Anolis sagrei: one gene and its partners. The protein of the gene in region 1 purifies or fractionates together with the protein of each later gene. This does not show direct contact. Links are inferred from orthologs where the notes say so. Each region holds a gene or a part of one and is shown in the gene's direction. Other genes may lie near its edges. The genes, in order: PIN1, POLR2D and RAF1.

What was found.
Region 2: the proteins of PIN1 (region 1) and POLR2D purify together in Homo sapiens (co-immunoprecipitation; 3 studies listed by BioGRID and IntAct, with this or other methods). This does not show direct contact. The link is inferred for Anolis sagrei from reciprocal best matches to the Homo sapiens genes PIN1 and POLR2D.
Region 3: the proteins of PIN1 (region 1) and RAF1 purify together in Homo sapiens (co-immunoprecipitation; 3 studies listed by BioGRID and IntAct, with this or other methods). This does not show direct contact. The link is inferred for Anolis sagrei from reciprocal best matches to the Homo sapiens genes PIN1 and RAF1.

What each region holds. Positions count from the first base shown.
Region 1 is NC_090022.1:147,609,845-147,613,880, forward strand, and holds the start of PIN1 (peptidyl-prolyl cis-trans isomerase NIMA-interacting 1), read left to right. Parts: upstream 1-1,384; 5' UTR 1,385-1,442; coding exon 1,443-1,500; intron 1,501-4,036. UniProt on the Homo sapiens protein: Peptidyl-prolyl cis/trans isomerase (PPIase) that binds to and isomerizes specific phosphorylated Ser/Thr-Pro (pSer/Thr-Pro) motifs.
Region 2 is NC_090023.1:220,845,310-220,849,345, forward strand, and holds the start of POLR2D (DNA-directed RNA polymerase II subunit RPB4), read left to right. Parts: upstream 1-957; 5' UTR 958-999; coding exon 1,000-1,072; intron 1,073-3,437; coding exon 3,438-3,618; intron 3,619-4,036. UniProt on the Homo sapiens protein: Core component of RNA polymerase II (Pol II), a DNA-dependent RNA polymerase which synthesizes mRNA precursors and many functional non-coding RNAs using the four ribonucleoside triphosphates as substrates.
Region 3 is NC_090022.1:64,263,716-64,267,751, forward strand, and holds the start of RAF1 (RAF proto-oncogene serine/threonine-protein kinase), read left to right. Parts: upstream 1-1,211; 5' UTR 1,212-1,374; intron 1,375-4,036. UniProt on the Homo sapiens protein: Serine/threonine-protein kinase that acts as a regulatory link between the membrane-associated Ras GTPases and the MAPK/ERK cascade, and this critical regulatory link functions as a switch determining cell fate decisions including proliferation, differentiation, apoptosis, survival and oncogenic transformation.

The sequences.
Region 1 (4,036 bases):
GGTTGAGAGTCACTGGCAGGGATTAGAAAGAAGGGTTTTTCCCCCCTCTCTGCAGGAATGTAGATGGAAGCTATGACGGGGAAAGGAGGGTTACTATCTGTGGCTCCTCCTCAGAGATAAGCCAAACCCCATAGCAAACAGCGGTGTTTCTGGGGGCTCCTTCTCTATTACTGTGGGCCTTTCCACACAACCACATTTTGGTAACTCAGAACATCAATGCAGATAATCCACAATATCTGCTTTAAACTAGATTACCTGAGTCCACACTGACATATAATCCAGTTCAATGTTGATTTTATACAGCCTGTGTTGCAAAATGAGGGCCATGCCTAAAAGTGAGTCACCAACATGAAATGTTTGGAAAGCTGTGGTAGGATTATAAACAAACAACTGATTATAAACAAACAACTGAAAACGTGTTGTCAAAGGCTTTGGAAATCACTGGGTTGCTGTGAGTTTTCCAGCCTGTATGGCCATTTTCCAGAAGCATCCTGACGTTTCACCCACATCTATGGCAGGCATTCTCAGTTTTGAGGTCTGTTGGGAACTAGGTAAATGGGGTTTATATATCTGCGGAATACATATGCACCACAGATATATAGGGAAAAAAAACTTGTCTATTTGAGGCATATGTGATTGCTGCAATTAGCCACCTTGATTAGCATCGAAAAGCCTTGCAGCTTCAAGGCTTGGCCTCTTCCTGCCTGGAGGAATACTTTGTTGGGAGGTGATTAGCTGGCCCTGATTGTTTATTGTCGAATTCCTTTTTGAAAAATATATAATTTCTTAGATTTTTAAAACCACCTCCACACACACACATAAGTGCTTAAAAAGCAAACCAGCAGCAGCACCCTATATTATCTGCAGACAGGGGACATTTTACGACGCTACTGTGTGCAATGGGACTTGAGCCAAACCAAGGGGCCTACTGCATTTCCGAATTGCCTCCGCCCAAGAAGGCACTGGGATTGGTTTGCAGTAACGTTTCAAATGCGCATTTCCGAGCCAGAACTAATACGACTGGTGCCAATATTTCGATCAGCAGAGAGTTTGTCTTATTCCCGGTTCTGGAGGCCATTGGTGTACATCTGCAGTGCGGTGGTACGCTTCGACGTGGTGACTTGAGTAACCACGACGCCTATCCTTCCAATCCATACGCGACGGGGCTCTGTATAGCTTTCCAAAAGCTAAATGTGAGCGCTTTGCTTCGCGTCTGGCCTTTTTTGTCCCTTCGCAGCCTCCGTCGTCTCACCTTTGGCGTGCCAAGGCAGCCAAGTACCCTCTCTCGCGCGGTCTCTAGCTCTAGCCAATAGGAGCGCGACGTCTTCACCCAGTTGGCCAATCGTGAGAGAGGCCGCCGGAGCCATTGTGCGCGTGCGGGGTCGTTGCCAGGAGAAGTGGGCGTGGCCGCCTCTGCGCTTGGTGCTGTGAGAGGAGGGAAGATGGCGGAGGAGGAGAAGCTCCCCGCGGGCTGGGAGAAGCGCATGAGCCGCAGCTCCGGTACCGCCGTGGACTGGGAAGCGGGCGGGAGCGTGGGTGGGTGGGCACCGAGCTGTGGGGGCGTCCTGGGAGGGTGTCTGTGCGTGAAAGTCCGGCCTCGGGAAGAAGGAATGTCGGAAGGGAGCAGCCTTCCTAGTGACTTAGATTGAGGGGCCTGCGTGGCGGCCTTCCCCCCGAGAGAGTGTCGAAGGGGAAAAATCAGTTAATTAAATCAACAGGGATTACAAAGAAGGGTTTCCCCCCCTCTGCAAGAATGTAGGGGAAAGCTATGACGGGGAAAGGAGGGTTACTATCTGTGGCTCCTCAGAGATAAGCCAAACCCCATAGCAAAGAGTGGTGTTTCTGGGGGCTCTTTCTCTCCATTCTCATTTTGTATTTTCTTATACAGGCTGAGTCCCCCTTATTGGCAATTCTGAAATATACCAAATCCCAAAAATGTCCACGTTGGTGGCTGAGATAGTGATGCCTTTGCTGATGGTTCAATGAACACAAAACTTCGTTGCATTATTGCATACACAACATTATTAAAAAGTAGATTGTATAAAAATGAGCTCCAGACTATGTGTAGAAGGGGTATATGGAACATCTATGAATTTCGAGTTTAGACTTGGGTTCCATCTCCATGACATCTCATGTATGTGCAAGTATTCCATTCTGAAATCCAAAACACTTTTGGTCCCTTTCATTTTGGGTAAGGCAACTTACATCTCTCAGCCTTTATTCTCTTCGTTCCTCCCTGAATTGTGAAAGGCCAGGGCAATGTACAACCCTCTGCACTCTCAGCCATTCCTAGCACCTCTTTCTTTACTTACAGCTGTCCTTGCTGTCTTTGTGGACACTGTTTTTATATAATAAAAGTGAACTGATAATTAAGTGTTCTCATTTTATTTTTTTTATTGGTGTTTGCCTTGAATGAAGAGAAGAACTTCATGTCACTTGCTCATAAGGAGCCCCCTGCCCCCAAAGATCCAGGCCTTTCACAAAGGACATTTTTAGAGGTTGCTCTTATTATAACAGCAGATGTATGTAGATTTTAACTTTGCACTTTATCTAAATCCCTTTAAATTGTTTATGAATGAAGCTTTTTGGGTTGATCTATGAGCTAAAATTCTTATCAGAGCCTATTGGACCACATTTAGTTTTCTTTATCCAGGGGATTTGCAGCTGTTTTGGAATACATATTATTGCCCAGACTGATTATAGCTGCTGGTATTTGGCCTCATCACACTAGAGAAAAATCCACTTAAAATCTGGTTTCTGCCTCCAGAATTCTGGGGTATGCAGTTTAGGGAGAAGCCTCACTAAACTACAAACCCCAGAATTCTGCAGGAGGCAGAAACCAGATTTTAAGTGGATTTTTTCTCTAGTGTGATGAAGTGTTTGGATTCCAATACATTTAAAGACTCCTACATGCTAATGGCAAGCCTTTTTCTTTTGAACAGTAATTACATGGGCAGCCCATTCAGCTCATCAGTAGGATTTGATGGCAACATCCCAACCAAGAAATTAGTTCTTGATAGCATGCTGTCTTTAAACACTCACGCTGTACTTGGCCATTATGACTAATAGCATCTTACAAATCTCTCATCTGTCAGTTAGGTTAAGTTTCCTTTAAAGCAGTTGGGCAGGGACCATCACCATGTGTTGTGAAAGTAAATTTCCTAAGCCAGAAGTGGTAAAGCTCACACCTGGGACCAGACAGAAATTTCTGTCCTCACCTCCCTCAGATGGTCATGTCTCCTGTATTACATCATGCCCTCTTTTGCATTCTATATGCTAAAGTGTCTTTTATAATTCTTTGATAAAATATGCTGATATTTTGATCCCATCCTTTGTATCCACTAATCACTAGAAACACTTTTTGTATTTGAATTTGGACTCCAGGCTGGAAGACGTTTCTAATATCTGCTTGTAATGTGTTTTTTTGTAGTATAATCTATAGCATGTAAAAATCACTTGCCACACTCTGATGTTATGACAAACAGAAAATGCATCTTGACACTCTTCTTCTGAATCATAGAATCATAAGAGTTGGAAGGGACCACAGGGGCCATCCGGTCCAACTCCTTGCCATTCAGAAAAAGCACAGTCACTTTACTTCTATCCTTCCTTTTTCCAAGACCAAGATTTATGCTTACACATTAAAACATTTATAATTAAATACATAAAAAGTTATCATTAAAACCAAGTGAAACTATTAATCATGTTAAAAACATACACTCTAAAATGATTTTAATAGTTAATGCAATTCAAAGCAATACAGACAGTAAAGTCCTTTTTTTTTTTTTTGAAACCTTCAGTTCTAAAAGCCTATTGGAATAGAAAAAGCTTTGCCTGCTGATGAAAGCACAACAGCAAGGAGATGGCCATCCTGACCTCCTTAAGCAGGGACTTCCAAACTCTAGGGTTGCCCTTTCTCATATTACCTCTAATTATAACCTTTTAAGTGTGTAAATTTTTTGCAGCAACTCACATAGCTCCCCGCATCTTCCACTGTTCCTTACAGTTGACTATGTAGACTGATTGGAACTGTAGG
Region 2 (4,036 bases), on another chromosome or scaffold:
GACTCAAACAATGATGGATCTGGACCAAACTTGACAGAAATACTCTATATACCCAAATGTGAGCACTGGTGGATTGGGGAAAATAGACCTTGACATTTGGGAGTTGTAGTTGCTGGGATTGACAGTTCATGTACAATCAAAGAGCGTTTTGAACCCCACCAACAATGGAATTGGGCCAAACTTCTCACACAGAACTCCCATGACCAACAGAAAATACTGGAAGAGTTTGGTGGGCACTTACCTTGCAATTCACATACATCCAGAGAGCACTGTGGATCTGGACCAAACTTGGCATGAATATTCAATATGCCCAAATGTGAGCACTGGTGGAGTTTGAGGGAAATAGACCTTGACATTTGGGAGCTGTAATTGCTGGGATTTATAGTTCGCCTCTAATCAAAGAACATTCTGAACCCCACCGACAGAATTGAGGCAAACTTCCCACACAGAACTCCCACGACCAACAGAAAATGCTGGAAGAGTTTAGTGACCGTTGACCTTGAGTTTTAGAGTTGTAGTTCTGCTACATCCAGAGAGCACTGTGGACTCAAACAATGATGGATCTGGACCAAACTTGGCACAAATACTCAATATGCCCAAATGTGTGTACTGGTGGAGTTTGTGGGGAAATAGACATTTGGGAGTTGTAGTTGCTGGGATTTATAGTTCGCCTCCAATCAAAGAGCACTCTGAACCCCACCAATGATAGAATGGGGGCAAACTTCCCACACAGAATCCCCATGACCAACAGAAAATTTGCTGATGTCTTTGGAGACCCCTCTGACATCCCTCATGACTCCCTAGGGGTCCCGATCCCTAGGTTGAAAAACGCTGTGTCGGGGCACCCTGGACATTGAAACAAGGCACTGGGATTCATGCCACATGATGGTGACGGAAGAGCGCGTGTCCTCTCCCGCCCTCAAGGGGGCGCCCGCAGCAGAGGCTCGACTTCCCTTCTCTTCCCTTTTCTTGAGTTTCCGGGCTGTGGAAAGGCACTCAATGGCGGCCGGAGGGTCGGACGTGCGGGCCGTGGACGTGGAGGAAGACGCCTCCCAGCTGGTCTTCCCCAAAGGTGAGCGACTGGCTCCGAGGGAAGGGAAACGCCGTGGGCTTGGGAGGACATGGAAGTTGCTCCAGAGGAGGCAGACCTACGGGATCCTTTCAAAACAACACATGCAGTGTGCATCCAGGCAGTAGAATGAATGCAGTTTGGCCCCACTTGAACTGCCATGGCTCAGTCCTGTGGGAGGTGTAGTTTTTTCAAGGTCTTTAGGCTTCGCTGCGCAAGAGTGTTAGCACCACGTCAAACTACAGCTCCCAGGATGCCATAACACTCAGCTATGGCACTTAAATGGTGACAAAGTGCAGTGTAGATCAGGCATGGGCAAACTTGGGCCCTCCAGGTCTTTTGGACTTCAATTCCCATAATTCCTAACAGCCGTGAACTACCTGAAGATGTAGCTGATGTGATCGGGATAACAGTTTTATTAGCCACAGCCAATAGTCATATTACAATCTGTATAAATAAAAATATAACGTTTGTTTGTGGGATTAACATAACTCAAAACCCATAATAATAATAATAATAATAATAATAATAATAAACTTTATTTAACATCCCGCCACCATCTCCCCAATGGGGACTCGGGATGGCTTACATGAGGCCAAGCCCAACAGCATATTATAATAAAGTAAACAATAACAACCCAGTAAAATACATACAACATATGAATACAAAAACGATAAAACAAAATAATTTGTTTTAAATAACATAACAATGAGCGGGCCGCATGTGCAAGATAAAACTGACTTGGCCACAGTGGTCCACGCTTTGGTTACATCCAGTTTAGATTACTGCAACGTGGGGTTGCCTATGAAGACTGCCCGGAAGCTCCAACTAGTCCAACATGCGGCAGCCAGAATGCTAACACGAGCAGGGTACAGGGAGCATACTACTCTTCTGTTGCGCCAGCTCCACTGGCTGCCAATTAGCTTCCAAGCACAATTCAAAGTGCTGGTGTTAACCTATAAAGCCCTAAACGTCTCCGGCCCAGTTTACCTGTCCGAATGTATTCTCACCTATGAACCATCTAGGTTGTTAAGATCGTCTGGAGGCCACCACCGAGAAGGACCTGTCCCTCGTCCTGCTCTCGGTCCCACCGGCCTCTCAGGCGCGTCTGGTGGGGACGAGGGACAGGTCCGTCTCGGTGGTGGCCCCTCGACTCTGGAACTCTATCCCACTGGAGATCAGAACTGCCCCCTCCATTCTGTCATTCAGAAAATGGGTGAAAACCTGGCTATGGGGTTTGGCTTTCGACGAGTAAATCAATATTTCTGTGATCGGATAGATGATGATGAATGATGGACAACGAATTCACTATGACGACTGACCATTGTTATTATGTGATTGCATTTTGCTGTTATAACGTTTTAATTGAATATGTTATATGATGTTTTTAATTATTGTTTTGTGATTTTATTGTTGGAAACCGGCTCGAGTCCCCTGATAGAGGGGAGAAGACCGGTATACAAAATTGCTAAATAAATAAATAAACTAGATACCAAAAATACTAAAATCAGGATGAGATAGAGATGGAGCAGATTGTTTGTGGGGAAGAAACTCGTAAGGAACGGGGTCATAAATATAGACCTTCATACAGGTGGGGAAATATACTCTGGGGACAAAAACCGCTGAGGGGGAGCAACTGTGTAATACCCAGTGGACAATTGGACACAATACACCTATCAGGGCAACAAGTGACCATCACTCATAAAAATACTGGAAAACACAGCAGAACAGACTTAAAAAGCAAAAAAAAATTTAAAAAAATACATTACAATGGATGTGCACTTATATACACATAAACACAAATATATATACACACAAAGCACATATACACAGACTGGGCCACAGCAGTGCGTGGCAGGGGATGGCTAGTCTTTATCAATTAAAATGTAGTGTTCATTTGTAAGATTAACATAACTCAAAAACCACTGGGCAAATTGAGACCAAATTTGGACACAATACACCTATCAGGCCAACGAGTGACCATCACCCATAAAAACACTGGAAAACACAGCAGAAAAGACTTAAAAAGCAAAAAAAACAGCAACATTGCAACGCATGCGTGAAACCACATATATACACATATACACATACATACATACACAAAACACATATTCACAGACTGGGCCACAGCAACGTGTGGCAGAGGATGGCTAGTTTGTTTATATATTTTATATTCTGTGCATATTCTGGATATTTCTCTTTAGTATTTTTCATAGGATCAGTCATATTATTGTTTTTCTCATTTTTGTTAATAACCTTAAGTACTACCACCTATTCCTGCTTCACACACAGACCAATCCTAAAATAGCACCCATAAAGCTGTCTTTTTCTGTTTCTTTTGATCCGTTCCACCCATCTTTACCTACAGAGTTTGAGACTGCTGAAACCCTTCTCAATTCAGAAGTGCACATGCTTCTTGAACATCGAAAGCAGCAGAATGAGAGTGCAGAAGATGAGCAGGAGCTCTCTGAAGTCTTCATGAAAACGCTGAACTACACCGCTCGCTTCAGCCGCTTCAAAAACCGGGAGACGATTGCTAGCGTTCGCAGGTATGTAATCCTGAGAATAAAATCTTTTGTCATTAGCCAACGTGACAACTAATGTAGAACATCATAATAATACTGACCAGTAGTGCCTCTGTTTTGTCTAGATTTACCTTTAGCTTATTAGCCCTCGCCGAGTCAATTACTGAAGACAGGCACAAGTTTAGGGGCAGGACGGCACCCTAGGCTTTCGCTGGAAATGAGTAATACAATTGGGTGTCATCAGCGTAAATTTGACATCAAACTCCAAAACTCCAGATGATCTCTCCCAGCAGCTTCCCTAATAGTTTCCTTAATCTGAACAAAGGAAGTAGAGTACGTTATTGTGCGCAGTTAAATTTATTTTGATTCCCCGAATAAAGTTATTTTGTAAGTTGACCTTCAGGGAAAGTGATTTAAAACAAAATACAGGCTGTTATGACAT
Region 3 (4,036 bases), about 83 Mb from region 1:
CGGATTTAAAGTGGATTCATTCTCTAGTGTGATGAGGTCCTGAGTGTTCTTTGTGAAGAGAGCAAGTAGAGTGTAAATAAACTTAATAATAATTAATAATAATGGGATCATTCATAAAATTCAAAAACCCACCGTTTTGCTCTTGCACAACTTGCAGCAAAAGGGAAAAAAGGGGGATGGCAGCAAGGGGACATGGCCATTGGAAACATATAGTACAGTGATGGACTGTGCGATACTGGGAAACATGTGCTAGTAATTTACAGACGGGGAAGGAATGGACAAGTGTGAATGTGTGAGTAATCCAAGCATCTGATTACAGAATGATATTAACACTGAATGAGACAGGATGGCTATTCTGGCCTCTTCAGTGGGATAGCACCCTATGCCATGCTGTGTCCACACTTCAACACTTACTTTCCTGACTGCATATTGCTGTATTGCAGCAGCCCGGTCCTACCTAATCTCATTCACAGGAAGAGGATGATATGAATTGTGGTCCAATTCATGCCAAGTTTCGGAAAACTGCTTTACTGGAACTCTTGCTCTCCCTTGCACCAATGAACCACATAGTCACAATTTATTTCTCCATGGCCCCTTCGCTCAGTACAAATATAGCACCATGATTGTACTTTAATTTTTCATGGCTCTATCTTCTGGAATCTTGGGATTTGCAGTTAATGGAGAAATATCAAATAGCTAGAGTGCTATAGTGCCATTGACTGAATTACTATTCCCTTCTTTAAGTCTTCATTTCAAGTGGAGTTTTCAGATACTTTTGTTTCACCCAGCATAGTAAAGCTGATGCCCTCAGCAGTATGCTGATGGAGGCCCGTAATTCCTGGCACTCAGAAGCCTGAGATCCTGTTACATGGATGGTGTCATGCAACCTCTGAAAGCCACTGTATTATATTGACAATCTAAAAATAAAAGAGTGAGAAAAGCAGAAAGCCAAAGCAAGCAAAACATGCTATTAAAATGGAGCCAGAGAGGGGACAAGAGAAGGGAGTGTTTCAAGGGAGGGCTCTGTGGCATGTAGCTCCTCCAAAGAAAACGTGAATAGACTGGAGGTTATTTGGCTGTTGGGGGGTAGGTGGGTGGTCTTTTTTTAGGCTGTTGCAGCCATGTGATCTACCAGAGTGCCTGGCTAATCTGCATGGGAATCTGGGGGTGGGAAACTGAGCTGTCCATCTCAATCGGGCTCTTCCTCCCATCTGCCTCCTTGGAGTCAACATCCACTGCACCTTCTTTTCGGTTCTGCCTAGGCTCTTTTGCTGCTTATTAATCCTTGAAGCAAACTGGATGGCCCTGTATGCAGCCTTTCCAATTAACTTTTAATCGGCCTTTGAAAAGTTCATGCTTTCAAAACTTCAATAGGTAAGTGAAAATTTGGCTGAAGACTACTGTGTAGTAAACAATAATTCTCACAGTCTTTCCAGTCTGGGGTATATTTTCTTGTTAAGTCTTGAAAGTGGGATGATAGCTCTGTTTACACTTTGTCAGAGCAAAAGGCAAAAAGTCTCTACTAGATAAATAATGAGTTCTCAAACCGGCAAGGAATTACAACTTTGTGGTGATTGTAATATGTTTTGTGATTATTTATTGATCTGATTCATTCCTGAGAAGAAATTAGTACATATTAAGTGGTTGTGGATCTTTACATTGTGTTCCCCAATTATGCCTTTAGATTACTATAATTATTAAAACTGGTATTTGCTCTTCATTGGAGTAACTTATTTTGTCACTGACATATTTTTATTGAAGTTTTTTTAAAAAAAAATCTAATTAAGTCTGGGAGACTTGGCTTCTGTCTGAGAAAATCCCAGAGCTGTCTATAGAGAGAAGTAATCATTTTCACACATGGTAATTAGACAGTGTTTACATGTAATGCCTGTATTTGTAATTGAGGCATCAAATTTAATTTTTAGGCCAGTACATTAAACTGAGGGGAAAGAGGCTGGAGTTACAATACGTCTCTAGAAATTACTTTTGCAAAGAGTATGAGAACCTAGAAACATATTCATCTATTAAACAAGTATTTCTGTATCACCTCCCAGCTTACAAGGGGTGAATAAAATCAATTAAAACAATGCAAGGATAAAATGCTTAAAAACACATTAAAATGCTATTTTATAAAAAGCAGACTAAAAACAGCCCTAGATATCACTTGCTCTGTGCCAAAATTGCCCTTTGTCACATGTGGTCAAGCTTAGCAGTACTGAGTTTACCTGACCATATACAAAGTGCATAAGCTTTGGGGGGGAGGGGGGGGCTCTAAAACTATGAAATAGAGTCACGGTAGCCACATTAAAAAAAATGCCCCATGTTATGTGGAAGATACCATTTCAGTAGATACCACTTGACAAAACTCATTCTTCCATACAACTATTGTCCTCTTTTTCAGGTGGCCAGTCTTGCTGGTGTGTCCAGGACAAATGAAAGGATTTGAAACACCATTACTTTTAATGGATTAGTTTTACTTAATTTTTTTAAAGATAGTGTTCCAAACTCTATGCTAAATAGGTGATGCCCATTTAAACACAGAGAATCTAACTTGAAGAACAAACATGAGACACGGACTCTTTGTGGATGTGAGATGTAGCTCCTTCATTGCCATCTTTCCACAAAGTGATTTTCTGTCATCTGGCCAAGTGTTGAGTCATGGACCTGAGCTGGAGCAGAAAGATGACAAAGTGGGACCATTCCATAATCATAATCCCCATGACTATCTCGAACCTTAGCATGAATTCAAGGTGTTTGGGATAAACAGGGGTTTCAATTTCTGGATCTACCATAATCCCATCTATCCTGAAATTGGTTCTCGGTATACAACAGATTCATATTTTCTTATTTAAATTGAAGTTCATGGCAGATGCTTTCTACAGCTCAAGAGACCACCATATTAGTCTTTGTTGTTACTTTGCATTTAGTACCTGGAAGTTGCATTTCTGTAAACAGTACAGTTACCTCCCAGTTTCCACAAATTGATTTTGACATTTTATATAAATGATGCCATTTCACTACACCATTGTATGTAACGGAACTTGAGCATCTACAGATTTTGGTGACCAGTCTCTACAAGTGGCTCTGGAACCAAACCCCAGATGTGATCAATGACCCTTACAAAGGCCACAACTCAGCACAGACTTCAGTGCTTCGTAGTGGGATTCTATCACTGAGTTGGAATTCAAATACTGATCTCCCAAATATATGTGAGATTTTCACATATTTCACATACATTTCACATACATCTAATGAATCCTTATAACAAAACTTTACAGCTAGAATGAGGAACTTGGGAGTTTCCAGTACTTAATCAACGACTGCTTCCGTCATAGTTCAATTCATGTCAGGCTGACTGTGGCTGATGGGAATGCGAGTCTAGAAAGCTATAGAGGTCCACAGGTCCCCCGGTGTTTTCTAATGCACAGAGTTACAACTTAGTAATTGATGTTTTGTATTCAGGAGCTCCAAGTTTCCTTCTCTCGCAACACCAAGTAGAACTAGGGGAAAATCTGCATAAAATTCTGGAGAGCAGCTGCCACTCAAAATGGATGGGTTTTGGTTACATGAAGCAAGGGTCTGGTGCACTATAACATAGCTTGTGTTGTTTAAAATATCTTGTTAGTCTCGAGTCCCTTTTGGCAGAATATAAATAAATAAAATAAATAATCATCTTATGTTCTGATACCAGTCCAAAATTACTATCATCTCCATATTGCAGATGAGCAGAAAGGGTTGACGAAATAATACATCGTGAAGGGATGCTGATTTTAGCTGAAGTAACACTTTAAACAAGAGGCCTCTCTTGGTTTATCTCAGCCAAGGTCCTCCTATGGCTTTGCACTAAACTAATTCTAGACTGAGGTGGAAATCATGTAGTTTGAGATGATGTTGGATTACAGCAGTCCTAGCCAGTGGAGAAATGTTGGAATAATAACAACACTTGAAGTCTGCATGATTTCTGCTTTTGCTTTAGACATAGAAATTAGTTTGCAAACAAACAAAAAGATACATAGATTAGAGGCACAACATATAT